Linked DNA regions of Struthio camelus. The protein of the gene in region 2 purifies or fractionates together with the protein of the main gene of each other region. This does not show direct contact. Links are inferred from orthologs where the notes say so. Each region holds a gene or a part of one and is shown on either strand. Other genes may lie near its edges.

Region 1 (7,015 bases), on a different chromosome or scaffold from region 2:
AGAAACTGTCTTGTATCTATTTGCCTATCATACTGGTATATGAAAGGGCTCTTGATATATGTATGTCAAGCAGTTTTTAGGATTCTGATGAAATACATAGCTTAAAAATAGTTCATGACAGTATAAATTCTTAAGTTGTATTATTTTTAATTAAGTTTGAAGGATTTCCTTCATATTGCTGTCATCTTCACTTGAAAAATAATTAAAAAAAATGCCTAAATTCTTATCCTGTGCTAATTTCTGTCTTGCACAAACAGATGTGTAGTCTGACTGTATTAAAATTTAGTTATGTATTGAAAGCTTAGCTGTTTTTTTTAGCAATAATTTAAGAATCAACTTTGAGAAGACTGATTCAGTGCAAGGAAGTATGCTTACATATCAATTAGCTATTTTTTGATAATTCTGAAAAGTAAAATGTTAGATGGCTGTGTTATGTTGGATTTACTTTCTGAGACAGTGGAACTTAGATAGTTGTGCAGGCAAAAGGAGGGAGCTGGCCAGGCCATCAAACAAGCCAGAGCTCTCTGCTGTTTCATACCCTCTTTCAAAGAGTTTAAGACTCATTCATCTGTTGCAGAAAATTTCTCTCTCCAAACCCTTTACACATATAGCCTCTCTGGTGTTCTCTTGCTATTTCTTAAAGATGTAAGGAAGTTGTATATATTTGTTTGTTCAGGAGCTTTATTTCACAGTTAATATATTGTTTCTATATATATTATTGTGAACAATATAGTGAAGTATATATTCTGCACATTTTTTTTTTTTCATTACTACTTATGCTTTTCATAGTCTACAGTCTTTTCCGCATTCTGTGTTCAGGCTCTTTAACTAAGAGTGTGTCTGGCTGTTTGCCCATTTAGATTTTGCATACAAGAGAGTACAGCCTTAGCTCAGCATGAAATCATCTCTCCGTTATGTTTTTTTTTTTTTTTTTTTTTAAAAACAGCTGTGGCTTGTAATGGAGACTATGACAAGGAAGCTTTATTAGTATGATAAATGTTCCTTTGAAACCATAAGCAATCCTGCTTTTTTTTTTTTTAAAGTTCAGATTTGACCAAGTTTGTGGAAGTAGTGAGAGTTAATATACTAGTAAAAGTAACTGGTGTTCTGAAATATAACAGTTCCAAGGATGATGTCTGCATGACTCTGTCCTGTCAATGAATACTATAAAGGATAACATCACATATGTAATATTTCACTTAGAAATAGGGAAGTAATGAAAAAAACTAATAGCAACCAATTTTAACTTCAGAGGAAAGACGGAGTACCGATGTATTGAGAATTTTTCTGGAATCAGATGCTAGAAAAGTAGAAGAAACAAAATATTGTGGTAACAGCAATGTGAAATTTAAGCAAATCTGTTCTCATTTTTTAAAATAGCATTATAGGACATTTATAGGTGAAAAACAAAGCTTGTTCTTCTCTGTTGAACTACATCACTATCAGAGGGACTTAAATTCCACTGTCCGTAGATAGAAACGCAAATTCTGCAGTATTATTGCTTAGATGTTCAGCAAAAATATTAGATGTTCCTAAAAATATTTATTTTGCAGATAGCCTATACAGCTGTGGCTTGTCTGTCACAAGCCCTATCTGCATGCATCCTAGAATCAATAGTACATTAAGGAAGCTGACATGAGGAGGGGAAAAATCATAAATAATGAATAGCAGGCTTTACTGCTATTATTATATTCTTAGGCGGCATTTCATTTCTGCTAAGAATAATACAAATTCTAGTGAGATACAACTGTACTTTGTAACCTGATTAGACTTAAATCCATTATCCAAAATACAGCTGTTTTTGTTTAGTCTGTCCCTTGTTAAGAAATATAATAGCGTGATCCTTAACTGTATGCTGCCAAAAGAAAAAGGTAGGGTTTTCATTTATTAGAAATACTGTGTGTACAGTATGAATATTTTTATTGGAACTTATCTGCAGTCTACTGAGAGACCAGGTTTTGAAGTGGGGGGATGTGAGGGTTGTTTTTAACCACTGTTTTCTTAGCTTTCTAAACAATAGAAGCTTGTGAACAGAGGTTTTTGTGGTATGCAGGATATGTGAAGTTTTGAGCATAAGAGCATGATCCTTGCACTTTAAATCTGTGTATTAATTTTTTTTCATTAGCTCTCTCTGCTTCCACATCCTGCACATTGCTGGCAAGCATGCATCAGCAATAAGACTTTCTTCACTAATGTGTCTGACATATCTCTGTAATGTGCAATAGCTGATTTTTTTAGAAGTTGGCTCCTTTCTAGCCATCTGAGTAATTTCACCTGATATTACTTTAAATTTCCTATATAATGTGCTCTTTCGATGAATAGCTGTGTAGAATGAGCACAGGAAGAGCAAAGTCCTTGGCAATACCAGCTCAATTGCATCTGCAGATGAGGATTTAAAATTCTGTGCAGCAGACAGTACCTCCAGCAGGCGAGTAAAAGGTTACTGCATTATTTTCCTTGTTTGCATCTCTAGTCTTTATCTACCAAAGGCTTTCTTTTATTGTTCAATTTGTTGTGCATGCTCGTATATAGATGTAACTGGAAACTGATTTAATGGAAACACGGATATCGAAAGGGCAGAGCAAGGTGAAGGGAGAGGCTCAGTTGAGCTTTAAACCAAAGAAAGGGAGGGGGAAGAGAGAAACAGTAAAGGGGAGGGGAGAGGGAGCAGGAGAGAAATTAAGCTTTCAGTGCATTGCAAAAACAAGAAGTTTTTTGTCAATGTATTCATTTAAGCTGCTTTCATGTCACTTGCATTTTTCTTAACCTTTTGATAAAGAGGATGCTATTGAACCAGGCAAGTCATGATAGCTCTATAAATGTAAGTGACAATTATTTCAAGTCAGATTATCCTGTAATCAGGTTAAGCATTTGTGTTAATGTGAGACCTTCTGCTTTTAGAAGCAGTATGGCATACTGTCTTAAACCAATTAAAATGAGCTTTTTACAATATTACTTGCATCTTTTTTTAAATATGGGAAGGAAAAATTACATGGTTATTGTACCAGTATCTCCTGAAAATGAGATATTTCTCATAGTGAGTTAATTGCATGCGTTAGGTTAGAAAGGTATTCACTATTGCAACCAGAGTATACTGCTTTTAGAAGGCCTTTTTATGTCTGACTGCTCGTTTGAATGAGTTCTGCTGCTTCCAGATCCTTTTTTCTCTGAGTGAAGGACTCCTCCAAGACTTTATCAAAGCTGCTTATGCTAGCCGCCCCTGTAACTTCTCTCGGGAGTTGGCTCTGTTACCTTTTGACATTCTACTTCAAATTCTTTCCTTCTTGTTTCTTCCTCCGTTTACATTTTTGCTGTTGTTTCCTGATGTCCTCCTGGCTCACACAGCTTCCTAGCAGCCATTCTTATTTCAGGATCTAGCTAGACCCCAGCATGCTTTTTTTCAGGGCTTTCCCATTTTTGAAGTTAGAAGAAAAAAAATTTTTTTTATTTATCTTTTTTTTAAGGTGGTGCAAAAAGACACTTGCGGAGCCCAGCCGCCTCACAGGGCTCGACGTTCTCGCCTGTCGTTTGGACTGGTGGAGCCCTAAGAGCTGGCAGCCCCGGAGGGGAGCGCAGCCCACGGGGCGGCAGTGGGAGGTGGCCCCGGGGCCGGCCCGAGGGGCAGCGGGCGGGCAGCGGGGAGGCGCTCCGCAAAGAGGAGTCCCGGGCACAACGTGCACGTTTTTTAAAGCCCGCGTTTACTTGCTGATGATGGGCTGGGCCGACGCTCCCTGGACAAGTGCCTTTTTTTTTTTTTTTTTTTTTTTCCCCTTCTTCCCTCCTCCTTCAGTTCAACAGTCTTAATTTCAGCCAGGGAGCTGCAGAATGAAGCGGTTGAGCAGTTTTGAGCGTTTACGGGACGCCGACTGTCCCGATTTCTTTAAGAATAAACTCGTCTGATGAGCAAGTCAATGTGTGGCTGTGGCTGCAGCATTATTTCTTCTTTAATGAAGAGGCTGGGCTGTTCGACCTGCTGCTCCGATCTGCTATCTTGCAGCCATACATCAGAGCAGTTGCAGAGACTGTCCATTGAATGTCTCAGTCAGCCAAAGAAGGTAACTATATTCAAAAATTAAAATATACCATTAACAGGATGCTTTATAATTTGAACTTATGTGATAAAAAGACAGATTTCAGGTGTTCTTAGCAGTTTTCTTGACCTTGCAGTAGCTATCCAATATCATTTTGCCATCATCAGGTTGTGTAGCAATAGAAATGTGCTGCAGTAATTGATTTTGTAATAGGATCAGGTGATTTACTGGCTGCACTGACAACCACTTGCTTGCTTGTTCTGAAACGTGGAGCACTCTAATGGATGTTTTGATTGCAGCCTCGACTTGCTCTGAAACTGCTAGATGTTCAAAGATGTAGCATCTCATTTGTCAGAATAAAAACTTCTCTAGCTGTATTCTCCAAGTTATATTGGAAATTCATTTTTTTTAGGCTGACTTTTCAGATTCGAGATTCTTTGTACAATCCTTACTAGAGTAGAACAGGAAATAGTCTTCACCAACTTCATGTGTGTCAACTTAGCCCCTTTTCTTATAGCCATTTAAAGCACATTAACACATGTGCTTTAAGCGTTTCCTGAGAACTTGAGCCATGGCAAACATAGTCCAACTGTATGCTTAGAGGAGAGTATGCAATAATTCTTTTTTGATTGGTCTTAAGTGTTTTATTTTCTGCTAATATATTATGATTTGGAAGCAAAAAGCTGACTCTCTTTAGAAAACAAACCAAAATAAAAAAAATCATGTCAGAGTATCACTTTTATTGTAGAAAAGTCATTAGGAGGTGTGATCTGGTGAGTGAAAGTGAGGAGCTTAATTGGTTCAACCTTTTGGACCAAGCTGTCTTAGGCTGATAAAACTGAAACATGTTTTGTTAAGCTCTAAATTTTTAGATATGCAGTGCCGCATTCATCTACCAGGTCATTTGGGGAACAGTATTAGCACCAAGCATGCTACAATGATTGGCAATAGTTTCCACTTAATTTGCTTTCAAAATACATTCATAATTTTTTATCCCCTATTGTGCAAGGATAAACATCCCTTGCTCATGGTTATATGGCATAATGTATAAGAATGAAAGCTTGAAAAGTAAAATTAACTTGTGTTATTTAAAATTGTCCGTAGTTGTTGTCATTTTGTGTCTATTTTGCGCTGAAATGATGGAAGAATTGCATCAGGAAATAGGAATTTCCTGCATGGACTTTGAAATAAGAAACAGTCAAAAGGCAACTTTTCTATGCTGAAGTTTAGAGGATGGCAGCCACCTTGGCCTGGGAACATCAGTATGCTGTGTACGATAGGTAATTAAACAACTATCAAACTGGTAACAGTTTTTCAAGTGACTGTATAACACAGAGATTTAAATGGCCCAAAATAAATCAAGGTGGTTTGGTTTGAATTTGTTGAATCTAATCAAGATTGAAGTCAGTGAGCAAGAAACATTAGATTTAAACTAGTAGATTTTAATTTTGTTTTCCATTTATACCTCAAAGAAGGTTGTTAAATGGAAGTTGATTCTCACTCATGTAATTTGGTACATCTTTTTCCTAATGAGGAGAATATTCTACTACTCCCATGTTTGTTCATGCAGTATATAGCTTAACATTTAGAGTATTATTTTTTCAGCTGTTATACTGTGAAATGAGCATGAGTACTCTTGCAGAAGTAGGTGTCTCTTGCCAATTTATACAAATGAAAAGAAACCAAAATTCCCATTTCCTCAACACACAATATGTTTCTTCAGTTTGAATGAACTGGTCATTCAGTTGGAGTAGCAGAACGAGCTCAAACGTATTTTTTGAACTTGAAGAGCAGTAGTGTTCAAGGTTGTGTGTGTGTGTGGAGGTGGGAGCACTTCTCTGAGCTCAGGTTGCAGGACTTAGTCAATGATTGAGTTCAGTGATTTGACTTTTAAAAAAAAAAAAAAAAAAAAAAAAAGGTTGGAGTCCAGCACCCTATTTCAATTATTTGCTTTAAGTTGCCTTAATAGGCAAAAGGAAATGCAGCTATTGGCTTAGGAGAGAGACTAATTAAAAATGGCTTCCATTTAAAGGTGTTAACTTGATAAGAAAAATAAGACTAAATAGTTTATTTTTACTTTTAAATTTGTTTTATTCTTCTGTTATGTATCTCTTTCAAGGTTAGTTTATACTAATTATGTTTTTGGGGACCATAATGTTGTATTTTTGCACGAGGTTTTGTGAGAAAGCTGGTGTGATCCACTGTATTTTGTATGTCTAAACACAGTGATAATGAGATAAGGAGTCATGTCCTAAAGTTCAAGAAGAAAATTTTGGTAAATCACTAGGAAAAATAGGTTGGAAAGAGTTGCATTTTTCCGATAAAATAGAAAATGGAACATTATCATTTTCTAAAAAGAGCCATGTGCAAAACTGCACTGCAGAATTTAACAACTCCATGAAACTAGCTAGGGCAGGAAAGAAAAAAGGCCTTTCTATTGACAGTGGATATAGTACTGAAACAGTAGTAAATATTAGTAATATGTTCTCTCGGATTATTGTTGTACTAATAATAGAGCAGAATGAGGAAAGAAACTAATTAATAGGAATATCCTAAATGTTGTAACTAGGCTTAGCATTCTGAACGTTCACTGGAGATTTATTCAGACTGCCTCCTCTAAGTGTTCTTAACACCTCAGTAATGGGGTCTGAAGGTGCCCCTGCCCCAAAGCAGGTACCTCTGCCCCCGACTGAACCCCAGTATAGACTCTTACATAGGACCTCTGAATTGTGCGTAAGGTAAATGGAGCAGTTGTTTACTATAGTGTCTGTATAGTCTGTATGCTACAGATTCTGGGACTTCCCTGGTAGTCTAATTAAAAAATAAACAACACTTCACCATATTTAAAACTAGTGTTTTGTTCTTACTATTCAGCCAGAAGATATTTGCAGTGATAGCCCCTACAACAGCTCTGAAAAATGAAGAAAAGAAATTTTAAAGAAAAAAGAAAAAATTTTCAAGAAATTGTACCGTGATAAACCATA
Region 2 (7,960 bases):
TAAATGACTAAAAGCCATCCTGCCTCTCAGACCCGCAGTGACTACACAGGGGTGCACATTTGAAAATCCAGCATTACCTGTAGAGAGGTTTCAAAGATGAGAAAGTTACTAAAAAAACTGTGTCACGGAATCATACAAATTTATATTTGAGGAATTTACCTTCAAAGCAGTAAAATTAAGAGTTAGACATCTAAGAAGTATATTCTGCTTCTTTAACCCTCCCGTTATGTTGATTTTCCTTTCTACTGAGATGATTTCTTCTCACAAACACATAAAAGATCTCTCCTCATTGCAAGCACTTCAAGATCCATGCGCCTGAACCCCTGCAGCTTTTCCCTCCCACCCATTAGCACAGGAAATTGAAAGAAAGGAAATAAATGCAGATGATAAAAAGAGAACAGGTACAAGATAAAGGGAGAGAGAGAAAAGAAAGAACGGGATGAACAACAAAGCAAGCAACTTGCGCATGAAGCAAAGATTTGTCTCCTACTCTGTCCCTCTCCCACCAAAGCAAAATTTGCTTTTCACTGATACTAAAAGGCTCAGTTCTCGGACTACCGCTGCGTAGATTTTCCAAAGCTCTTTTCTCCTCCAGCCAACATCCTGCACCATTGAGATAGTTTACGAATAATCAGCCACTTTGGTTTTGTATCCACACTCTTTGCATTAAAAAAAGGAAAGAAAAAAGAAAAGAGAACTACTTAGGGGAGGAGCCCTCTCTTTCTCCAGGTTTTCACACAGTGGATGTTTCGCACAGATTTCATCATCAACTCATAAAATATGTACTTCCAACATCATGAATAACAAGGAGGTCAGATGCCAGGCACAGTCATTCCATAAAAGCAAAAACAAACTTCTGAAGTGAAGACCTTCAGGAGCTAAGACCTTTACGATAAATTTGAGAGTTGTATCCAGACCTTCCCTTGTCAAGACCTATAAGAGTCATCCAGTTATCAAGAGTATAAAAAAAAAAATCTAAAAATCTATTTACAAGTCTAGCAAAGTTGCCTTGGAGTGTGTCTCCAGGCTGAACTTTAGGGCTCCAACACCATGAGTGAGTTACTGTACTGCTTTTCATGCGCACTTACCCTACAGTAAGCATGGAGGAGTTTATTACACATTGTACAAATTAGAATATTGCACATTTAACACAGGACAAGAACACGTACCTGGACAGTTACCATGAAATAATCCTTACCCAGGATGCTTGTTTCACAAGATGAAAAAAACAGTTTATGATTGTTTCTTCCTCGCCTTTTCATTCCCGCCTCCTAGGAACAGTTTACTTACCCCCTCGATGGGCTAATACAACTTTGCGTACTCATGGCACAAATTGAAATGGCCCAGATTAGAAATAACCCCAAAGAAGAGGGAGGAGCAAATCATGCCACAGGGATGGAAGCAAGCAGTCAGGAAGTCCTCTGTGCAGCCTCAACACTGACAAACACCACGCGTTTCAATAAACTCTTGAGTTTTAAAATCGCATCACAGGTACCATTCATCCCTTCTTTCCCTCTCCCCCCAGAAGGAGGAGAAACTTAAAGATGTAAGCATCTTTGCGTACCTGGCAGCACAAGCAAAGCACATCATTCCTATTTACAAAAGCCTGCTGATTTCCAGTCCCAGTTCACTGTAGCACTACCCAAGAAGCCTAGGCGAATCTGTTTGCTTGTAAACAGAAGCCCAAAGTTTGCATAGTATCTCCAAGCAACCTCCTCCACCCACAGCTAAGATTAAGGCAACTTGAATTTCCCACTGCAGTTCCCAAACGCAAGGGAACAGGGTAATGTTGTTCACCGCCCCTCCCGCAAATGCAATTTCTCATGGTTACTATTCCAGCAACACGGTAATGATCATAAACTCATTAAACGCAAGGCATTAAGTCTCTGTTTGTTCCAGTGACAAGACAAGGCATTTGTTTACAGGCAATGACTTGCATAGTTAAAGAGCAATGCAATATCTGTGGAAAACACACAGTGCAGGTCTTTCATCTCGTTACTACCACATTGAGTCAGATAAGCAGACGGAAGTCGGTAGAGAGCAGCTATGATCACGCTATGATCAAGAAAAAACATTCCCAGGATATATTAGCTTTTATTTTGGCCCTTATCTTTCATTTTTGTTATCTTTAACAACAGTTCCCATTGTCTTCGCTCCTCACTTCCATCTGAGGTGAAACCTGTGTATGACAGCCCTTTTCACTCTTACCAATGTCAGCGTATTTCTCTCCCCTCATCGGTTCTGGTAGCAAGTATCTGATCTGGAGTCAGGACAAGGTGATATGGGAGTCTGTTAACAGACTGTGGGAGACGGAGTAATTGAGCATTCATAAGAGTTTGATTCCCACTTAACTGTTTGGTCTGTCAACTTAAGAACCAAACAGCAAGGAAGCTTTCCATTTTGACTGCAGGTGAGCACTGTGAACGTATCACCCTCCAAAAGACTGCTCACAGGATACGCTCTGGATACCGCTATCTTTCAGACAAAAGTTAAACTTTCACGAGTGGCTAGAAGAGATGGAAAACGAAGCTTGCGTGACTGGTGTTAAGTACAAACCTGGGGCGTTTTTTTTAGAAACGCACCAGAAGCACGTGCCCAGCGCTGGGCAAAGGCTAGAAAGGCTCGCCTGCACGCAGGCTCTACCGCTGCAAGCTATAATGACGCTTCTAAAAGCCACACACAGCGTTCCCTGCCGCAGGAACAGTTAGGCGAGCACCTGGACACCGCTTTTCCCTTAAGTACAGGGGAGAGCTCGTTTCCCCGTGGGGTGTTACTCAGGCAACGAGGTTCACAGGCTGCACAAGCACTGGGGGTGGGGGGAAGGCCTCTAATTCGGCAAGCGCTTCTCCCGGAGAGGCGCAGGAACCCGCTGCGACGTTGTGACACACCGAGGCTCAGGTCTGGCGCTGGCGAAGTCACAGCGGAGCCCGGGCCACAGGCCGGGGCTCGGCCGCGTCGTCCCCTCAAGCGGGACTCACCGGGCTCCAGCAGATGAGCGAGTCGGTGTCGGGATCCTCCACCAGGGTCCACAGCTTGGTGAGGAAAGCGGGCACGTTGCTGCCGCCGGGGCCGGCGCCCACCGCCGCCGCGCCGGGCCCCTCCATGGCGGCCGCGGCTGCAGGCCCCGGGGCAGGCCGCGGCGCGTCCCCCCCCCCCGGGGAGCCGCCGGAGGGCGGGCGCGGGGGGGGGAAGGGAGGGAGGAAGGGAAGGCCGAGACGGGCGGGCGGGCGGCGCGGGGTTTAGTGCCGCCGGCGACCGCCGCGGCGGGGCCCGGCCGCTGCCTGCGCACTGCAACCCCCGGGGCCCAGCATGGCCGCCGCCATCTTGGGACGCCTCCGAGACAAGCCCCCCGCGCGGGACGGCCGCGCGCATGCGCGGGACCGCCCCGCCCCCTCCCCCTCCGCGGCCGCCGCCGCCGCCGCCGCCCGTGGACGGGGGGCCACGCCCCCTCCGCGCCGCCGCCACCGCCCGGCGCGGGGCGGGGCACCGCGCATGCGCCGCCGGGCCGGCGCCTCGGGTCCGCCCCTCCGCGCGCATGCGCGGTGCCCCCGGCGGGGCGGGGAGGGGCGGGTGGGCTAGGGCGCATGCGCCTCAGGCCGAGTTCCCCTCTCACCTTTGACCTCCCTCCCCGATTCTTTTTTTTTTTTAATTTTATTTTTTATTTTTCCGTCCGAACGGCTGTCTTCGCCCCTCCTCCCGCCGGGGCCGGCGCGGTGCGTGCCGGCGGCGAGGCGGAAGCGGAAGAAGAATGAGAAAATAACCGGTCCGGGATGGAGGGGAGGGGTGGGGGGGGCGGTGCGCCGTGACCTCTGACCCGCGCGCACGTGGCCGGCGGCGGCGCACGCGGGGCGGCGGGAAGGAGCCATGGAGCAGGTCGGGGGGCGCGCGCGCCGCGGGGGAGGGAGGTGGGGGGGCGTCTCCATGGTTACGGGGCGGCGGCGGGGCGGGAGTCACCATGGTTACGGGGCGGCGGCGGGGAGGCGTCACCATGGTTACGGGGCGGCCGCGCCGGGGCAGGGGGGAGGCGGCGGCTGTCGGGGGCCGCCCGGGCCCTGTCAGGGGCCCCGCGGGCGCCGCCGGTGTCGCCCCCGGGTCCCCCCCCCCCACCCTCGCGGCCCCGGTGTGATGCGACCTCGGCTCTTGCCTTGCAGCGGCCTCTTGCCGGTGCGGCGGTGCCGGAGGAGCCGGGCACGGAAAGCGACGACCTGACGGACAGCGAGGAGAGCGTCTACTCCGGCCTGGAGGACTCGGGCAGCGACAGCAGCACCGAGGAGGAGGAGGAGGAGGAGGAGGAAGAGCCGAAGGACGGTTCGCCCTCGCAGGCACACGTAAGGCCCGCACCGCCCGGTGCCCCTTTGCGGAGGCCTCTGCGCGGGGGGCCCCCCGCGCCCCTGCTCGGTGAGCCGGGCAGGAAGAGCAGAGCGCGGGCCGCCCGCCTGAGGCGGCGACGAAGCTCCTGCCAAGGGGAGCCTTCCTCTCAGGAGCGCGCTCGGGAAGGTCACGGGCCGTTTTTCTGTGCGGTGACACCAGTGCAGCTAGGTTGGCGCCGGCAGCCTGGCTGAGCTGCGCGCTGAGTAGAGCAGCCCTAAAAGTTTGGGGTGGGCTGGGGGGGGGGGCAACGTTCATTCGCATGCCTGGTGTCCCCTCTTGGACACAGCGTCAGTGAAGAAGAAACCTTATGTGTACAGGCTTAGGTGAGGCTTACGTTTCCTGACCCTAGGCTTGCATTTGGTGATGAGAAGCAGCCTGGAGAGCTGTGGTGCTGCTTGTTTGTTAGTTGGAAAAGGGATTTTACGCCTCTCTGCGCTTCTAGAATCTGTGCTAGCAGTGATACTTCTGCTGTCGATGCCATTTAAAAAAAAAATCCTGTAAAGACACAGCCTTACTTCTATTTCAGAAAGCACAGGCAGAAAGAGCGGTGGAAGAATTAACACTCTAGTTCCTCTTGCGATATTAATGAACGTTAATGTTACTTAGGCTACTCCAGCCTCCTTTGCCCTGGGTCATGCTCCAACTTGTGAACAAAAAGTGCCTTATTGTTTTCCTGGCTGTGTTTCTCGAGCTGTGTTTTTATTGATTTGGGCAACATGTAGAAGCTTTACCAAGGTCTGGAGTAGCAACTGAGTAGAAACTTACTCTAATAACCTGTTTAGGAATTTTATAATGGTGCCTTAGGCTGCAGTTTTGGTATTCAGCAGCAGTGCTGCTTGAGTCGTCTCCATCTACAGCTGCTTGTCCCCACCGACACCGCTGTCTTTGTTATGCTTGAACAGCTGTTTATGAATCCACTTAGTGGGCTAGGTCAGGCAGCTGATCCAGCCCAGAAATAGCACAGTGGAAATGGGGCTTGTTGTTGTTGCTTTGTTTTGCTTTTCAGAACAATTGGTCCCCTGAACTGCACAGGCTTTTTTGTTGGTAGCGGTGGTTGTTTTCCTTGGCATTGGCTCTCTGATCTGTTTTGCCACGTGTCCATGTAATCAACTGTACAAGCACAGCAGAGTGTTGCGCAGGGACAGGAATGTGTAGGACAATTCCCCAAGCCAGGACTTTTGCCAATGCATTGTATGTCCGCCTGTGTCCGTCTTATTGTATGAGAGCTGAGGCTGGTTCTTAGGCATCATCCCTTCCACCGCTCTCAGTTCTTCCACCTGTTACTCCATATCCAACTCTTTGTAATACTACCGGCCCATAGGCAAATATCTGCAGGCAGTGGGATCCGTCACTGTCTTGTTGCAACCCAGGTCAAGCTAAACGCGGTGATGAGTGCTCTACACTGAAATAGCATGTGCTTTCTATAGCTGGCACAGCCTATAAAAGAGTTAGAGCAGTAGCAGCAGAGTCTGACGAGGTCGGAGGAAGTTTGAACGTAGATTCCCCTTACTGTGAACAAGGCCATCGGCGAGATGTGCTTTGGCCTTGCTTCTGCTTTGGGCAGGGATGGCCTGGTGGTTTGCCTTCTGCCTTTAGGATCTCCGCTATAACAAAGTCAATGGCATCTTAGCATGTGGGCCTGGAATGGTGTCGTTCCTGCCACACAGGAGCCGTGCGTGTCGCTGGGCGGCTTGTGAAGAGAGCTATCTAACGTGGTCGGCAGCCCTTCTGAGCAGGGAGTGTTAGAGACGGAGCAGTGGCCTTAATTGGATCCCCTCTTCAGAGGGGTATCTGAAGGGTTTTCACATGGGGAAAAAACATCAGACATATCAGTCTTGGCCAGGAATGTATTTACCCTTTGTGCCTGTTTGAAAAAAAAAAAACGCTCCTTATGAGGGTTTCACTTTTCCCATACAGGGTTAAACAGAGGTTTGCTCTTTTCAGACCGTTTTCTTCTCTGGGGTCTTGCAACGAAGTTAATCTACTATCTGTGCCATTGTCCTTTTTGGTTCGCAGCCACTCCTGAACACTTTCTAAAGGAGCTGTGGACCCTGTCTAGTGAACCCCAGCCTCCTGAGGGGAGGTTTTCTTCTGTTCCTTCTTTACAGGCCCTTTGCATAATGCCATAAATATATGGGTTAAAGACTGCTACATTATAGTGTTGGAAACTTCTGCAGTTCAGACAGCTTTCCAGAGTGACTTGAGAATTTCAGGAGCTATGCACAATTAAGATTTTTATGTTGCATTCAAAGTGCTTGGATAGTTAGGGAGAGCAGAGCTAAATTACTAAGTAGGAATTTCCCCAGGAGCCTGCTTCCTTAAAAGCATTTTGAGCCTTTCCTTGGTCACTGTTCTGCCTGCTTTTGCTCTCAGCTTTGGACTGCGCTCACTGTTTCATGGGTGGAAACTTTGAGAAGAAGAGTGTAGAGTAGACATGCAGAGTCTAAGAAGGGAACGCTCTTAGGTCGACTCTGACTCAGCTGGGTCTTTCTTCAGAGCACTAAGTTGTCGTCCCTTGCTGGGGAGAATCGCTGAGCTGCCAGCAGAGATGGTAGACGCGCAGTGCTCTTGCCCGAGTGCTATTTTACTGTCATGTTTAATGGACTTATGGCTTTAGGCCAGGAACGAAGAGAGCTAGCTTCTGTTTAGAAAATATTTCACTTGTTCGTGCAGGAGAACTGTTTATTTACCTTGGTTAGATATGTTTAATTTTGAATGAGATTTCTCAAATGCTGGTCTCTTCCAGTATAGAAGAAGTTGTCTGTAGTGTCAGCTGAGTGTTGTAAGTGCATTAGTTTGGTGGCTCACTCGCCTGGTCAGTGATCAGCGTTCAGAACGATCTATTCGGAGCTGAACTCAGCACGAAGATCTGGTGTTGCTGGCCCAGGTGGACTTTGTGAGACCTTCTCATTCGATGGTTGGGGGCTGTTTGTGTGCAGGATTCTCTCTTGGTGCCAGGGTTTTCCTGGCAGGCTGAAAGGCTGTCTCACGTGGGGCCCGAGAAAGGAGGAGGGCGTATGGTCACCCATGTGCAAGGTGCAGCCCTGGAAGCCCCTGTCCATGTTGCACCCAGGCTGAACACATCCCACCACTGAGCTGCACCCATTCTCCCTTTTGCTCCTGCAGGACCGTGTGCCCGTTGCTGTCCGTCCATCCCTGTCCACTCTCCTCAACAGCCTTGTAACAGGGCTGGGCAGGAGGGGATGGGGATAGGCCCCCACTTCCCTAGCCCAGCGTGTTTTGGTTGGCCTGCTTCTCTGGCAGGGCTGCATCCTGCTCCAGGCCAAGCAGTACCAGCAGTTTCCGGGCCTGAGCTTGTTAGAAGCGTAGTCCTGCAGCCTATGTATCACGCCTGGCCTCAAGTGCTCTCGGGTGCAGCTGGGCAGGTCACTGGCTGGTGGCGTGGGGAGGGCTGTCCTGTTGCAGGGCATCCACTTGGCCTGCTGGGATGAATGGGCTACAGCATTTCTGATCCGGTTTTGGAAGGATTCTCCCAGATCTTTCTGGTTTGTTGTGATGCATCTCTCTCTGCTGTCCTGCATGTCGTGAGCTGAGCAATGACCTCGTTTCTCTGGCCCAACAGAGAAAC
Region 3 (7,778 bases), about 130 Mb from region 2:
ATGATATAAGCTATTATCCTTCCAGTCCCACTCAGAATCTTCATGAAAACCCTCATTTGGTAGCAAGCTAATATAAAAGACAGAATAAAAAAACTCCTTTAAAGACTTCCAGAGTGCATTCTACCGCAGTAACAAACTGTGAGAGAAAATCTTTTGGAAATCTGTAAATCTTCCTTAGGGCTTATTTTAAGCCTTCCTTCACAGGCTAAAAGCAACACTTCAAAGGACTGGAAAACATGAAGCCTACACTGGAAAATCCATCACCAGACCAAGTAAGTGCGTTTCGTGTCATAACAGCATGGGTACAAATACTCCAAGCTGACTGCAGACTTCTGCAGAGTTAAGAATCCGAGTAACAAAAACGGTTAACAAAACAGGTAAGTGGAATCTCTGAGCTGGCACTGCCCGCCAAAATGGAAACTGCCAAGCGATTACACTTCCCCAGATTTACTGGCCCCAAACCAGAAAGACACTTCCAACCACTCGCTATGCAGTCGCGCCCCGTTAGCCCCTAACACCTCTTACATGGCTTTCCGATCCATCAGTCTACGTCCTCCCCCTTCCCCCGCAGCCCGGTATTATCAGGAGTGAAGCGGCTGCCATGCCGGCTCCGCCATGTGGCGGCTATCAGGAAAACAAGGGCCCCCGCAGTTAGATGAGGAAAATGGCGCCCAGAAGCAACCGTTGCCTCCAGGGAAAGCGATGCGGCGGGAAGGAAAGAAATTCACAAAGAACCGACGCCAGAATAAAGAAGCTAAGTTACACTCGGGCCTTCAGGAAAAACACAAATCAGTCGCTGCAAACCGCTTCTAGCGTCCGGCTACACACGCCTTACCAGGGAGAGCTTGCAAGCGATTGCTTTCTGTTCCCATAAAGATAACAACGGCAGCCTGGCTCTCAGCCTCTACTGCTCTCCCTCCCTACCCCCTTTCCCCTCCTAGGTCTCATCCTGAAAGCCTCACGCACGAGCGAGTCTCGGCGCCGCCATTTTACCCCTCCCCCTCGTTACCGCCATTATCAGCAGCGCCACCCCGGCCGCTCAGCGTCCCGCAGGGCAAAGTAGAGTCCCGGATCGCGCATTAACTGACCTCCATAGTGGTGTGTGTCCCCCTCTCCCTTCCCCGCAGCACCACCCTAACGGCAGCTCAGCTAAAGGACATGTCGGGAGATTTAAGAATTCGTACCCGCACGCACAGCTACCGCAGCTTCCGCCTCCCCTCTCGAGTGCGCACCAGCCCCAACCGCCGCTTCCAGAACCTTCCTCCCTGCTAACGCTTCCTCTGCGGAGAGGCACCTAGCCGCTAGCCGCGCCGCCGCTAACGGGGGTCGGCAGCAGCACCCAGACCTACGCTGCCCGAGGACGACTCTGCTCCTAACCCCCCGATCCTGAAAAAGCACTCCATCTCCACAACCAGACACGCCACCCTCCCTAACAGCCGAATCTGTATTTTTCCCTTTTCACATACCATATTCTTCATGGTTTACGTATCCCTGCTTGAGAATACCGCACAACTGCTCAGTAATGGCTGCCTTAACTGTTACGTAATTTGAAATTCAGCTCCACGTAGTGCTAGCGCCCTCCTTCTCCAGCCCAGACTCGCTGCCGATGTTTTAGTCAAAAAGCTCGAATCTGGAGCTTAAATATCTCCAAAGGGGCAACAGTTCTGTATAACGCCCCTATGTGTTTTAATCACGTAATAAAAAGTCATCAACTCCGTTAGTAATGGCTGTCTCCGGAATGAGCCGAAGGAGCTGTCGTCGTCGAGCTTATCCACTTCGACAGTCGCCGGAAAAAGCCGAAATAGGAAAGGAAGCCCATTCGATTCGCTTCGGCTATTTCCGGAATTTGCCGAAACGGACAAGAATGGCGATCCGATCCCACTCGGCAATTTCCGGAGAGAAAGACGCAGCAGCCATCGACGATACAGCGCCTTCGGCAGTTTCCGACAACGGAAGAGCTTTCTAATACGTGCCCGAGCGGAGCCGAAACGGCCCCGACCAGACTTGGCACCGCGTCGTGGGTGGTTTTTTTTTTTTTTTCCGGAAATTGCCGAACCGCCCCGAAGACTCAACCTCAAAGCAAGGGGGTTATAATTAGCCAAAGGGCTCGTTCCCCCCCCCCACCTTTACTCCCCCCCCCCGGCCACCTGTGGTACTGGCAGGGCCCGGGCGGGAGCACAGCGCGGTGCCTACGCGCGCCCCCGACATCTCCCCTTTTTGTCGGCGGGTTGGCCCCTTCCCCCTCCGCCCGGGTAGGAGGAAGTGATAGCTGCCCAGATTTTGGCGCCAGCACCGAGACATCGCCGGGGGCCGAGAGCCAGCGAAGGGAGGCGGACTTCGCCGCAGCCTGCTCCGCTCTACCCCGCAACACGGACAGAAAACCCATCGGGCAAGCCACTCACTTAGACATTTATTTCTCCTTCCTCCTTTCTTTCCCTCCCTTTTTCTCTCTTCACCGGCCCCGCACACACCGCGACAAAGGGTGAGTGCCGCCGCCCCGCGCACCAGGGAAATGGCGCTAGGGCTGCTCCTTTCTTCCCGCCCCCTCTTCTCCTCCCCCTCCTCCCAGCTCCCCGGGAAGCGACCCCTCTCCCGGAGCGAAGCACCCTAAACTGACTCGGACCCGTTTCCCCCACTTAATAAAGGGCTTTCTAGGCCCCCAACCGCTTTCCAACTCCCGCTTTCCTCCCTCCCCTCCCCCCTCCCTGGCGCTCGCTCAAGACTAGGCCGCCTCGCCGCAACGCGGGAAATGGCCGCGCTCCAAACGGCCCGGGCCCGCCTCAGCAACGGCAAAACGAACTTCAAAGCCGCTCAAACGCTCCCTGCCCGCCTTCCCCGCACCTGGGGATCGCCCCAGGCGCCCCCCCGCACGGACTGAAGGCCTCGCTCGCCCTGCGGCGGGCGGCGGCCGCCCCGACCCAGCACGCCCTCATGGCGATGATCATCATGGCGGCGGCGGCGGCTACCGGCCCGCCGGGCCCGTTTCCCCCTCCCGCCACTTCCCGCTCACCCAGTCGCTTTCTCTGTCGCCGCGAGGCATCTTCCTTCTTTTGGACGCTTGACGCGGTCCTGCACTCGCCCCCCGTTGGAGAGACGTCTTGGCCCCCCTCCTGTACTGGCGGCGACGACGGGAGGAGGTTGCAGCTCGCGCGTAGGCGGCGTCGTGCGCTCTGCCCCGTCAGTCGCCGGCACGCAGAGCTCGCCCAGCCCAGCCCCGCCAGCAGCCGCCGCCTCCCGCCCTGCGCCGCGCCGCGCCGCGCTGCCGCCCAGCCGCTGCCGCCCCGCCCTCCCCCTTCCCCTCCCCCACCCCCCCCTCGCCCGCCTCAACCCCCCTCAGATGTCGCTGTTGCCGCCGCTGCTCAGTGCGCGCAGGGCGAGAGCGAGGAGGAGACGGGAAACCCGAGCGGCTTGAGCACCATTGAAGTCTGTATCCTTCTCTCTCTCCCTCTTTCTCTCGCTTCGATAACCTTCCCCCCCCCCGCCGCCTCCTCCTCCTCCTCCCCCCCCTTCCCGCCACGGGGGAGCGGGCGCCCCGCGGAGCGCTCCTGCACCGCGGCCCTCGCCTCAAGGCCACGGCGGGAAAGGCGGGGGGCAGCCCGCCTCGCCCCCCTTCCCCCCCCCCCCCGCCGCCCTCAGCCGAGCGCTGCCGCTTCCTTGGCGGCGGGGGGTAACGGAAGGAGCGGGGCTTCGTGGGGCCCTGGCATTTCCACGGAGGCCCCTCGGCTGGCGGGGCGGGGGGGATGAGGGGGCGGCGGCGGCCCCCGCGCTCGCCAGACAAAGCGCGCCCGCCAGCGCCGAGGGGGCGGCCTGGGCCGGCCGCGCCGCCTTCAGGCGCCAGGCTCCGGGCGGCGGCGTGCGGGGCCCGGGGGAAACGTGGCGGCGCTGGGGGCGGGGGAGGCGGGCGGCGAGGGGGCCCCGGCCCCGCGGCGAGGGCGCTGCGGGCGGGCGGGCGGCTCCCGCGGCCCTCGCCCCCCTCCCCCGGGCCGGCCCGCCTTAGTCCCGTTAGCTCGGCCCCGGCCGCCTCGCCTGCGCCCGCCGCAGGCCTGAGCCGCTGCGCTGCCCCCCCCACCGCCCCCAGGCCTCCCGGGGGTTATTCCGTTTTATTTTCGGGTGGGGGGCGGGGGGAATTGCTGCTTCTCCCCTCTCCCTTGCCTTTCAGACGGAGACATGGCATGGCCCACCGCGCCGGGGCCCTGATCCCTGCCCTCCCACCTCACCCACCCCACCGCCTTTGGGGCTGCCAAAACCCCCCTCTCACATAAGAGGCGAGTTGGGCGGGATCGCAGAGCCGAGGAGGCTTTCTGGCCTTGGAGAAGGACTTCTCTTGCCTTGCCCGGGCAAATGCAAAATTGTAACAGCTCTATAGTTTGCAGTCAGGCGGGGATAATACATGCCTACAGAGGTGGCCAGTATGAGAAACGACGTGGAAAAGGGGATGGATCGCGTTCAACATCATTTGCTTAGGTTACATACATAGTATGTACAGCTTAGCTGCTGAGTTAGTATTGCTATAGGAACCTTAACTCTTGCAAACTTGAAAATCAGAAGGCAACGTTATAGTTGCATTAAGATAACGTTTGGCTGTTGATAAGCATTTACTACTATGTAAGAGTAATGGGTGACTCCTTATTACACTGCAGATATGTAGCTGCTCCCCACCAGATTCGCAGTTAATACATCTAGGTATATCTTGATTAACTGCTAGAATCTCTACTCTTCTTCTCTTGGGTTTAAGGAAATATGCATCCCTGATGGTCCTCCCCCTTTTCCCTAGAAACATCTCTGAGCCTTAGAAGGCCTTGGGAAAACCTTTTTTCAACTCTATATACGACTTTGTCGGTATCGTGTATCCTGGCTAGCATAACGGTGTGTTACTGGGTTACGCTGGACAAAGTAGTAACCTACTTTTTGTTCTGGATTTAATCCGTATTAGGAGTGTTATGTGCAGTGAATACATGGGGGTTGGAACAAGGACCATGCTTGTATTGGGATGCCTTTCTTTGAGTAATGTAAACTTCCTTTTAATTGTCATGCATTTTTCTAGTAAAAGCTCTGCAAGTCTGCAATAAAAATGGCCTCCAATAAAACTACATTGGTAAGTTCATGCACACCTAAAGTATATAAGGATTTAATCAACATTTTTCTTCAAACTTATAACTTGGCATCTCCATTTTAAAAAGATACATCCACATCTCCCCTCCCCAGCATTATTCTGACCAAAATTTCAGATCCAGAAAGTAAGGCTACTAGAAAGGACATTATCTTTGGCTTTAATAAATCTGCCATTTCTACTGAGACTTGTTGGGAAAAAAAATTAAAGGACTGTGCGCCATTTTATGTGCACTACAGTAGAAAACACTAAGGATTTTTTTAGCCTCCTTTCAGCACGCTGTGTAGTTCATCATGTATGTAAAAAGAAGTAAAGTCAGACTCGTGTATTCATTTAACTGTGCCCAGTCTGTTCAGGTAAGACAGATTGCTTGAGAAAAGGCAATCTCCTTACTGATGAAAAATAACATTATTGGGAAAATGATGTGGCATAGTTAAGATGCCTTTTGAAACGATTTTTTTTAACAAATAACAGTTTCTTTGAATTTCATAGGAGCAGAGGTTATCAGATGGCAACCCCTCCTGGACCATTTTAATGATGCATTCATGGATCTCAAGTCCCTGTAAAGCTTTGCTTGACATTAAATTATGGACTTTTAAGGGCAGTTGGTTGCTGGAGAAGTTGTTTTAATTACTATTCAACTAATGATAACACATGTATTTGTAGGGGATAGACCTGGAGAAATATGGTGTGAGATGCATCTGAGATTTAGGCAGGGAAGTAAGCAAAAATACATCTATACAGTTTAAAGTTGGAGAGCAGAATTGTTTTATAATGTACTCGGAAGGCCTATTCTTAAATATACTAAAATTATTACTAATTTACCCAGATCAAGATATATTAAATACTTGTATGAACTCCTGGCTTATAAGTGCTATGGAGTACTTGCTTTACAGTTTACTGTAAACAAAATATAACAAAATATTTTACAGCTTTCACCAAGATGAATGTCTGAACTTTTTTTTAGTAACTGATTGCCCACTTCTCCCTAATTTGAGGATAGAGGGAATTATCCGGGGGGGGGGGGGGGGGCGCAGGGAGGGAAAGGAACCTGTGAACGCAGTATTTTTAATCTTTTGATGTTGCGAATTTTGCTGCACAGGTCAGGAGAATCAGTTATGGTTCCCATGGGAACCATAACTAATTCTGCTTCGTTATGTATTTGCATGCAAAACCTAAACATATTAAGGGATAGTGTAGCTCTGGAACTGTAATTCTGATTTTCTTGCCTCTTGTGTGTTAAAACCCTTTACTACAATGTCACATCAGTGTTATAATCTTACCCCTCAGAAAGAAAGAGTGATTACCCCCTGAAGAACATCTGTATCTGTCACATGTGACTTCTGAATACACAGAGAGAGAGATGAGCCATGGATGACCTTTCAATGTTCAAATGTCTAAGTTATGCCTTAAAACATGGAATTCTAAAGAAGGGAATTTTAAGGGTCTAGTGAAGTTCCTACCCTTAAACGGATGTTATACCTCACTTAAGTTAGTATTTTGAGATTTACATGGACTTGTATAATCTCAGAATATACAGGTTTTTAAGAAATATTCAGTAATTCTGCAGGCTCTGGAATCAAATATTACTTCAACAGTTTAGAAAGGCTTAAGAAGACAACTTAGAAAGCGGTGCTGATGCACAAGAGACCTAATTAAGTCTTTAATGTGTTTTTTTTTTAAAGCAACATACTCTTGAGTATGTTATTTTTTACCGCCCTCCCAAAAAATCATTTTCTTCTATGCAAGATTATATAGCTATATAGCCTTAGAAAGAAAAAAAACTGTTGTTTTGATCTAGAAGTCCTAAGCATTTATCTTAAGCGACAAGAATGAATGAAGCTGAAAAGAGTTTCTGAAAGCAATTCATCTTACACTGAATGAAAGCAAGAATTTTAGTCCAAAGGAGAACATTCATAGGAAGCTTTGCACTTGTGGCCAGCTTGCCTCATCACCAGTAATTATAATGTTATTACTATGGTATAGTGAGTCTGTGTCATTCTTCTTCTCGTCTTTTTTGTTTTCCTTATCTCTACCCGTTCCTCGTCTTTCATGCTTCCTTCTCTTGAAAGAAGTTGCTTTCCTAGACTAGTTGGACATCTTCATATTTTTATTTTCCTTTAATTTCAGTATTATGTTCTTTTTCCTTTGGAGGCAAAAAAAGCCAGTGTGATTAAGTTGACGCTCTCCAGACTTGAATACTGGAATACCTGGAATATGCAGGCAGTTAAAATCTAATTGGAAATACATACTCTGCTTTAAATAATCAGTCTTTCATAGTCCCAAATCAAAACAAGTGCCACACAAGATATAATCCTATACAGACGCTTGCTGTTTGAAAGGGAAACGTGACATTTTTCCTTATCTTTCTTCATTGTTTGCACCTTCCACTTAATGAGTTGCTAAGCCGTGTAAAGCTCTGTTTGGGAAGGAGAGGAAAAATTGATTAAGAAAATGAAAGGGCACAAAGAGTGGGCTTAGGAAAGAATCAACTTCATATCTCCATTTTAGAAAAAAACGACTGTTGACTTTGTCTTTGACAGACGTTATTTTTTCAGCCTTCACTACACCAAGACAAAATTCTGCAAAGTCTACAAATCTGACAGTTTTAAAATGGCTTCGCTGCATTTGCAAACTAACGCACATTAATTCTAGATAGGGCTACAAA
Region 4 (7,834 bases), on a different chromosome or scaffold from region 2:
CTGGGGGGTCCCGGGGGGTCCCGAGGGGTGCCAGGGCAGGGCTGGGGAGGGGTCCCAGGGGGTCCCAGAGGTGCCAGGGCACGGCTGGGGGGGGCCCAGGGCTCCCAGGGCATGGCTGGGGGGTCCCAAGGGTGCCAAGGCAGGGCTGGGGGGGTCCCGGGGGTCCCGGGGCAGGGCTGGGGAGGTCCCGGGGGGTCCCAGAGATACCAGGGGAGGGCTGGGGGGGGTCCCAGGGCAGGGCTGGGGGGGTCCTGAGGGTCCCAGGGGTGCCAGGGCAGGGCTGGGGGGGTCCCGGGGCAGGGCTGGGGGGGTCCTGGGGGGTTCCAGGGGTGCCGGGGCAGGGCTGGGGGGGGTCCTGGGGGCCCTGGGGCAGAGCTGGGGCGGTCCTGGAAGGTCCTGGGGGTGCCGGGGCAGGGCTGGGGGGGACCCGGGGGGTCCCGGGGGGTCCCAGAGATGCCAGGGCACGGCTGGGGGGGGTCCCAGGGCAGGGCTGGGGGGGTCCTGAGGGTCCCAGGGGTGCCAGGGCAGGGCTGGGGGGGTCCTGAGGGTCCCGGGGGTGCCAGGGCAGGGCTGGGGGGGTCCCGGGGGTGCCAGGGCAGGGCTGGGGGGGTCCTGGGGGGTCCCAGGGCAGGGCTGGGGGGTGCCGGGGGGGGGGGGCGCTCACCCTTGAGGCGGGGGTGCTGGCGCAGCAGGCTGTGCAGCAGGAAGGCGGCCTTGGCGCGCAGGGGGGGCGGGGGGCCGCAGGCGGCCTCCAGCAGGGCCGGGAGCCCCCCCAGGCGCTCGAACTGCTCCAGCCCCTCGGCCCGCGCCCGCAGCAGGCCTGCGGCGGCCGGGCGCTCAGCGGGGCCGGGGGGGGGTGGGCGCGCGCGTGCGTTCCCCCCCCCCAATCCCACCCAGGACTCACAGGAGAGGGCGAAGAGGGCGGCGCGGCGGGCGCCGGGCTCGGGCTCGGCCCGCAGGCGCCGCAGCAGGGCCGGCAGGCAGCCCAGGGCCAGGGCCCGGCCCGCCGCCCCCGGCAGGTTCTGCCCGCAGGCGCCCACCAGCCGGGCGGCCGCCGTCCGCACCGGCGCCCGCGCGTCCTCCAGCAGCCCGGCCGCCGTCTCCAGGCCCCCCAGCGCGCACAGCTCTGCCGCCAACCGGGGGGGGGGGGGGTCAGCGTCGTCCTGTCCCCCCACCCCGGGACCCCCACCACCCGGGGGGAGCCTCCTCGGCACCCCAAACCCCCCGCAAGCACCCCCAGATCCCATCAAGTACCCTCAGCTCCCCCCCTCAAGCACCCTAAGACCCCCCCCAACACCCCCCGCCACCCCCTCGGACCCCCCCGGGCATCCCCAGACCCCCCCGACACCCCCCCCACCCCCTGGGACCCCCCCCGGGCATCCCCAGACCCCCCCCACCCCCTGGGACCCCCCCCGGGCATCCCCAGACCCCCCCCAACACCCCCAGCCACCCCCTAGGACCCCTCTGGGCCTCCCCAGACCCCCCCAACACCCCCAGCCACCCTCTGGGCCCCCCATACTCTATCAGCCACCCCCTGGGACCCCATAAAGGCCTCTAAGACCCCCCTCGGGTACCCCAAAGCCCCCCCCAAGGACCCCCAGACCCCATCAAGCACCCCAACCCCCCCCAAGCCCCCTAGGACCCCCCTGAGCATCCCCAGACCCCCCCAACACCCCCAGCCACCCCCTGGGACCCCTCCAACTCCCCCCGGGACCCCTCTGGGCATCCTCAGACCCCCCCCAACCATCCCCAATCACCCCCTGGGCCCCCCCCAAACCCCCTTTGGACCCCCCCAGCGCCCCCCTACCTGTGGCGTTGTCGAGGCTCTCGCAGAGCTCGGCCAGCAGCTCCAGCACGTGCTCGGGGCTGGACTCGGCCTCGGCCTCGGCCTGGGGCTCCCGCAGCAGCCGCAGGCAGCGCCGCAGCTGCTCCGACTCCCCCCCGACGCCGCCCAGCGCCGCCGCCACCGCCGCCCCCAGCCACTCGCGCCGCTGCCGGCACCGCGCGTCAGCGGGGCCCCGGCGTCCGGCCCGCGGCGCCCCCCGCCACCCCGGGGCCCCGGCTCCCCCTCCCCACTGCGGGCCCAGGTGTCCGGGCTCCCCCCCAGTCAAGGGCCCAGGCGTCCGGGATCCCCCCCAGTCAAGGGCCCAGGCGTCCGGGCTCCCCCCCAGTCAAGGGCCCAGGCGTCCGGGCTCCCCCCCAGTCAAGGGCCCAGGCGTCCGGGCTCCCCCCCAGTCAAGGGCCCAGGCGTCCGGGCTCCCCCTCCCCACTGCGGGCCCAGGTGTCCGGGCTCCCCCCCAGTCAAAGGCCCAGGCGTCCGGGCTCCCCCCCAGTCAAGGGCTCAGGCGTCCGCGATCCCCCCCAGTCAAGGGCCCAGGCGTCCGCGATCCCCCCCAGTCAAGGGCCCAGGCGTCCGCGATCCCCCCCAGTCAAGGGCCCAGGCGTCCGCGATCCCCCTCCCCACTGCGGGCCCAGGCGTCCGGGCTCCCCCCCAGTCAAGGGCCCAGGCGTCCGGGCTCCCCCCCAGTCAAGGGCCCAGGCGTCCGGGATCCCCCTCCCCACTGCGGGCCCAGGCGTCCGGGCTCCCCCCCAGTCAAGGGCCCAGGCGTCCGGGCTCCCCCCCAGTCAAGGGCCCAGGCGTCCGGGCTCCCCCCCAGTCAAGGGCCCAGGCATCCGGGCTCCCCCCCGCCCCGCGGGCCCAGGCGTCCGGGCGCACCTCGTCGCTGAGCGGCTCGCGCGGCTCGGCCTGGGGCTCGCTCGCCGTCACCGCCATCTCCAGCAGCCCCTGCAGGCTGCGGGGGGGCTCGCGGGGGGGCGGCGGCCCCCCGGCTTCCTGCTCCGCCATGATCCTACGGCGACACCGCCGTCAGGGAACCGGGGGGACCGGGCACGGCGCCGCCCCCCCCTGAACTCCCCCCCCCCCGCACCTCCTACAGCCTCGCGCGCTCCCTGGGCGCCGCCATCTTGCGCGGGGGGCGGGGCCGAGCGCGGGGGCGGGGCCTGGACGGCTGCGTGAGGCTGGCGCTGCCCCCCCACGGCCCCCTCCCCGCGTCCCCGCTTTGTGCCGCTGAGCGACAGCTCTCTCAGCCAATGGGAGCGAGCGGAGCGGCGCCGGGGGCGGGCGCCCCACGGTGCGGGGGAGGGGCAAGGCGGGTGATTGACGAGGCGCGAGGCCAATAGGAGCTGGGGAGGGCGGGGTGGGCTCGGTCGGGGCGGGACCTGGTGGGGAACAGGGCGGGGCAATGCGATTGATGGGGGAATCCAGCCAATGGAGAGAGAGGGAGGGCGGGGTTCGTGCCGATTGGCTCGGCGGGCACCAATAGGACGCGGAGGAGCGCCGACCGAAGAGGGCGGGAAGGGAGAGTGAGCGGGCGGGGCTACCTGCGACAGGCAGGCGGCTCAGCCAATAGCTGCGGCTCTCCGACGGGCCCAATGAGAGCGGCGCTCCCGGCCTCCGGGGGGCGGGACTGCGCGGACGGAGGCCAATGGGAGGCGGCGGGCGCCGCCAGGCGAGCGGGGCGCGTGAGGGGGGCTGGGGCGGGGCAGGGCGCGACTGACAGCGCCCGCGGCCAATGGGAGAAGCCGAGCGGGTGCCGGGGGCCAATGGGGAGCGCGGGGGGGCGGGCACGAGCTGTGAAGGCTCCGGGGGGCAGCGGGAGAGGGAGAAAGGCGGCGGCGGCGGCGGCGCCGGTGGGAGCAGGTGAGGTCGGGGCCGCTCCCCGCCGGTCCCGGGGCCCCCGCGGGGGGGGGGGGAAGGGCCCGCCCCGTCGTGCCCGGCGGCGGGGCGGCCTTGGACGGTCCCTCACCGGCGAGCCACGCGGGGCCTGGCGCCGGCCGCCGTGTGGAGGGAGGCGGGCGCCGCTCTTCGGAGCGTTACGGTATCGCCGGGGTCAGAGCAGCCGCCTCCGAGACGGGGGCGCTACTACGAGCATTGTGGTAAAGCCTTGTCCTCCCGTCACCTGAGGCGGAGTGCTGGGGTTCCGCTATTAGGTGCGTTACGGTAAGCATAGGGTTGCTCTCCCGCCCCCCCCCCACGGGGGGCTGCTATATGAGGCGTTACGGTGGAAGGTGGGGCTCTATTCAGAGCGCTACGGTAAAAGCAGCGGCCCTTCCCCACCCAGGCGGGCGCTGCTAGTCGGAGGATTAAGGCGAAGCCAGATCTCTCTTTCTCTCTTTCTTTCCTCTCCAGCCCCCCCGCCCCCAAGGCCGATTCGGGGGGCCGGTCACTGAGAGCATTACGGTAACAGAGCACGATTCTACCCCCCCCTTATAGTAACAGGGCAATGGGGGTGGGGGGACATTGTCGGCTCCATTACGGTAGCGGGGTCATTGCGGGGGAGCACTGCCGGCCCCATTACGGTAACGAGGATGGGGGGTCGCGGGTGTGTGCGACCGCACTGGGGCCCGTGCGTTGGGCGCATTACGGTAGTGGTAGGGGGTCCCGGAGCCGGTGCATCGGGTGCGTTATGGTAGCGGGAGAAGGGACCCGGAGCCAGTGCGTTCGGTGCATTACGGTAGCGGGTGTCCCGGGGCCGGTGCGTCGGGTGCATTACGGTAGCGGGTGTCCCGGGGCCGGCGCGTCGGGTGCATTACGGTAGGGGGATCCCGGAGCCGGTGCGTCGGGTGCATTACGGTAACGGGAAGGGATCCTGGTGCGGCTGCATCGGGCGCATTACGATAGGGGGGTCGCGAGGCGGGTTCGTCGGGTGCATTACGGTAGGGGGATCCCGGGGTGGGTGCATTGAGTGCATTACGGTAGCGGTTGTCTGAGAGCCGGTGCGTCAGGTGCATTACGGTAGTGGGTGTCCCGGGGCGTGTGCATCGGGTGCATTACGGTAGGGGAATCCTGGAGCCGGTGCATCGAGTGCATTACGGTAACGGGGGCCCCAGAGCCGGTGCGTTGGGCGCATTACGGTAGCGGGTGTCCCGAGGCGGGTGGATTACGGTAGCGGGAGGGGGTCCCGGGGCCGGTGCGTCGGGTGCATTACGGTAGCGGGTGTCCCGGGGCCGGTGCGTCGGGCGCATTACGGTAGCGGGAGGGGGTCCCGGGGCCGGTGCGCTGGGCGCATTACGGTAGCGGGAGGGGGTCCCGGGGCCGGTGCGTCGGGTGCATTACGGTAGCGGGTGTCCCGGGGCGGATGCGCTGGGCGCATTACGGTAGCGGGTGTCCCGGGGCCGGTGCGTTCGGCGCATTACGGTAGCGGGAGGGGGTCCCGGGGCCGGTGCGCTGGGCGCATTACGGTAGCGGGAGGGGGTGCCTCCGCCCGCCCGGTCCCCCGGGGGCGGTGCGGGTGCCCACGGCGGCGCGGCGGCGCAGGGCGGCGGCGGAGCAGCATGCCCCGGGCCGGACCATGGGCGCCCCGCGGGTGACGGCGCGGGAGCTCTGCGAGAACGACGACCTGGCCACGAGCCTCGTGCTCGACTCCGTCCTGGGCTTCCGCACGCACAAGATGGGCGTCAGGTCCGCGGGGTCCTAGCGCCGGGCCGCGGGGAGGCACGGGGGTCCTAGCGCCGGGCCGCGGGGAGGCACGGGGGTCCTAGCGCCGGGCCGCGGCGGTCCCGGGGCGGGGGAGGGGGTCCTAACGCCGGGCCGCGGGGAGGGTCTCAGGGGTCCTAGCGCCGGTCACGGGGGGTCTCAGGGGTCCTAATGCCGGCCCCGGCGGTCCTGGTGTCCCGGGGGGGTCCTAGTGCCGGGCCGGGGGAGGCAGGGTGGTCTCAGGGGTCCTAGTGCCGGTCCCGGGGGGTCTCAGGGGTCCTAGCGCCGGTCCCGGGGGGTCTCAGGGGTCCTAGAGTCGGCCTCGGCGGTCCTGGTGTCCCGGGGGGTCCTAGTGTCCCGGGGGGTCCTAGTGCCGGGCCGAGGGAGGCAGGGGGGTCTCAGGGGTCCTAGTGCCGGTCCCGGAGGGTCCCGGGGGGTCTCAGGGGTCCTAACGCCGGTCCCGAGGGGGTCTCAGGGGTCCTAGAGTCGGCCCCGGGGGGTCCTGGTGCCCCGGGGGGTCCTGGTGCCGGGCCGAGGGAGGCAGGGGGGTCTCAGGGGTCCTAGCGCCGGTCCCGGTGTCCCGGGGGATCCTAGTGCCCGTCTTGGGGGGGGGGGAGTCCCGAGGGGATCCGGGGGGTCCTAGTGCCGGTCGGTGGGTCCCGGGGGGGGGTCCCGGTCCCGGGGGTGCGGGCGCTGAGGCCCGGTGCAGCCCCCTGCCGGCCCTGCGGCGGCAGCAGCACCTGCGCGCGGCGGTCGAGGGCTTCCGGCGGCGGCGGGACCTGGAGGCGGCGTTTCGCGCCCTGACGGGCGGCGCCTGGGCCGGCGGCTACTTCCAGCGGCGGCGGCCGCTGCAGCAGGCGGCGCTCAAGAGCCACGTGAGCCGGACGCCTGGGCCCCGCGGGGGGGGGGGGGCATGGGGGACGCCTGGGCCCCGCGGGGGGGGGGCATGGGGGACGCCTGGGCCCCTCTGTGGGGGGGGGATGGGGGATGCCTGGGCCCCTCGGGGGAGGGGGGACGCCTGGGCCCCTCTGTGGGGGGGGCATGGGGGACGCCTGGGCCCCTCTGTGGGGGGGGCATGGGGGACGCCTGGGCCCCTCGGGTGGGGGGCAGGACGCCTGGGCCCCTCGGGGGAGGGGGGACGCCTGGGCCCCTCGCGGCATGGGGGACGCCTGGGCCCTGCGGGGGGGGCATGGGGGACGCCTGGGTCCCTCTGTGGGGGGGGGGAGGGGGTACGCCTGGGCCCCCTCGGGGGAGGGGCAGGATGCCTGGGCCCCTCGGGGGGGGCATGGGGGACGCCTGGGCCCCCTCGGGTGGGGGGCAGGACGCCTGGGCCCCCTCTGGTGGGGGGCAGGACGCCTGGGCCCCTCTGGTGGGGGGCAGGACGCCTGGGCCCCCTCGGGGGACGCCTGGGCCCCCTCGGGTGGGGGGCAGGACGCCTGGGCCCCCTCGGGGGATGGGGACGCCTGGGCCCCTCGTTGGGGGAGGGGGCCCGGACGCCTGGGCCCCTCGGGTGGGGGGCAGGACGCCTGGGCCCCTCCTCGGGGGAGGGGGCCCGGACGCCTGGGCCCCCTCGGGGGAGGGGGACGCCTGGGCCCCTCCTCGGGGGAGGGGGCCCGGACGCCGGGGCCCCTGCCCGGCTCACGGCCCGGCGTGTCCCCCCCCCCCCCCCAGATTTTCCGCTACCTCCGGATCTTCCTGCCGGAGAGCGGCTTCGCCATCCTGCCCTGCAGCCGCTACTCGCTGGAGACCAACGGCGCCCGCGTCGTCTCCACCAAGTCGTGGTAGGGGGGCGCCGGGCGGGGGGCCGGGGCCCGCGGGGACGCCGGGGCCCGCTGACGGCGCCGGGGCCGGCCCGCAGGCGGAAGAACGACAAGCTGGAGCTGCTGGTGGGCTGCGTGGCGGAGCTGACGGAGCCGGACGAGGGGCTGCTGCGCTCGGGCGAGAACGACTTCAGCATCATGTACTCGACCCGCAAGCGCTGCGCCCAGCTCTGGCTGGGGCCCGCCGCCTTCATCAACCACGGTGGGCCCCCCCCGGACCCCCGGCCACCCCCCAGGGCCCCCCCCGGACCCCCGGCCACCTCCCAGGGCCCCCCCGGGACCCCCGGCCACCTCCCAGCTGTCCCCGGGACCCCCAACAGCCCCCCCGGGACCCCCGGCCACCCCCCAGGGCCCCCCCCGGACCCCCGGCCACCTCCCAGCTGTCCCCGGGACCCCCAACAGCCCCCCCCGGGACCCCCGGCCACCCCCCAGGGCCCCCCCGGGACCCCCGGACCCCCGGCCACCCCCCAGGGCCACCCCTGGGACCCCCGGACCCCCGGCCACCTCCCAGCTGTCCCCTGGGACCCCCAACAGCCCC

What was found.
Region 1: the proteins of HSF1 (region 2) and FBXW7 purify together in Homo sapiens (affinity purification with western blotting; 4 studies listed by BioGRID, with this or other methods). This does not show direct contact. The link is inferred for Struthio camelus from reciprocal best matches to the Homo sapiens genes HSF1 and FBXW7.
Region 3: the proteins of HSF1 (region 2) and HNRNPA2B1 purify together in Homo sapiens (affinity purification with mass spectrometry; 3 studies listed by BioGRID, with this or other methods). This does not show direct contact. The link is inferred for Struthio camelus from reciprocal best matches to the Homo sapiens genes HSF1 and HNRNPA2B1.
Region 4: the proteins of HSF1 (region 2) and HSPBP1 purify together in Homo sapiens (affinity purification with mass spectrometry; 5 studies listed by BioGRID and IntAct, counting the BioPlex papers as one, with this or other methods). This does not show direct contact. The link is inferred for Struthio camelus from reciprocal best matches to the Homo sapiens genes HSF1 and HSPBP1.

Annotation. Positions count from the first base shown.
Region 1 is NC_090945.1:38,375,863-38,382,877, reverse strand, and holds the start of FBXW7 (F-box/WD repeat-containing protein 7), read left to right. Parts: upstream 1-3,938; 5' UTR 3,939-3,947; coding exon 3,948-4,055; intron 4,056-7,015. UniProt on the Homo sapiens protein: Substrate recognition component of a SCF (SKP1-CUL1-F-box protein) E3 ubiquitin-protein ligase complex which mediates the ubiquitination and subsequent proteasomal degradation of target proteins.
Region 2 is NC_090943.1:172,755,466-172,763,425, forward strand, and holds the start of HSF1 (heat shock factor protein 1), read right to left. Parts: upstream 3,138-7,960; 5' UTR 3,105-3,137; coding exon 2,979-3,104; exon of another isoform or gene 2,581-2,978; intron 1-2,580. Other genes in the region: ribosome biogenesis protein BOP1, read left to right, coding at 3,585-3,713, 4,152-4,328. UniProt on the Homo sapiens protein: Functions as a stress-inducible and DNA-binding transcription factor that plays a central role in the transcriptional activation of the heat shock response (HSR), leading to the expression of a large class of molecular chaperones, heat shock proteins (HSPs), that protect cells from cellular insult damage.
Region 3 is NC_090943.1:38,644,764-38,652,541, forward strand, and holds the start of HNRNPA2B1 (heterogeneous nuclear ribonucleoproteins A2/B1), read right to left. Parts: upstream 3,144-7,778; 5' UTR 3,041-3,143; coding exon 3,011-3,040; intron 2,483-3,010; exon of another isoform or gene 1,479-2,482; coding exon of another isoform or gene 1,467-1,478; intron 1-1,466. Other genes in the region: CBX3 (chromobox protein homolog 3), read left to right, coding at 5,072-5,095. UniProt on the Homo sapiens protein: Heterogeneous nuclear ribonucleoprotein (hnRNP) that associates with nascent pre-mRNAs, packaging them into hnRNP particles.
Region 4 is NW_027182594.1:275,533-283,366, reverse strand, and holds the start of HSPBP1 (hsp70-binding protein 1), read right to left. Parts: upstream 3,049-7,834; 5' UTR 2,928-3,048; intron 2,850-2,927; 5' UTR 2,846-2,849; coding exon 2,717-2,845; intron 1,992-2,716; coding exon 1,808-1,991; intron 1,127-1,807; coding exon 905-1,126; intron 821-904; coding exon 665-820; intron 1-664. Other genes in the region: histone-lysine N-methyltransferase KMT5C, read left to right, coding at 5,352-5,461, 6,186-6,351, 7,148-7,257, 7,335-7,498. UniProt on the Homo sapiens protein: Inhibits HSPA1A chaperone activity by changing the conformation of the ATP-binding domain of HSPA1A and interfering with ATP binding. Interferes with ubiquitination mediated by STUB1 and inhibits chaperone-assisted degradation of immature CFTR.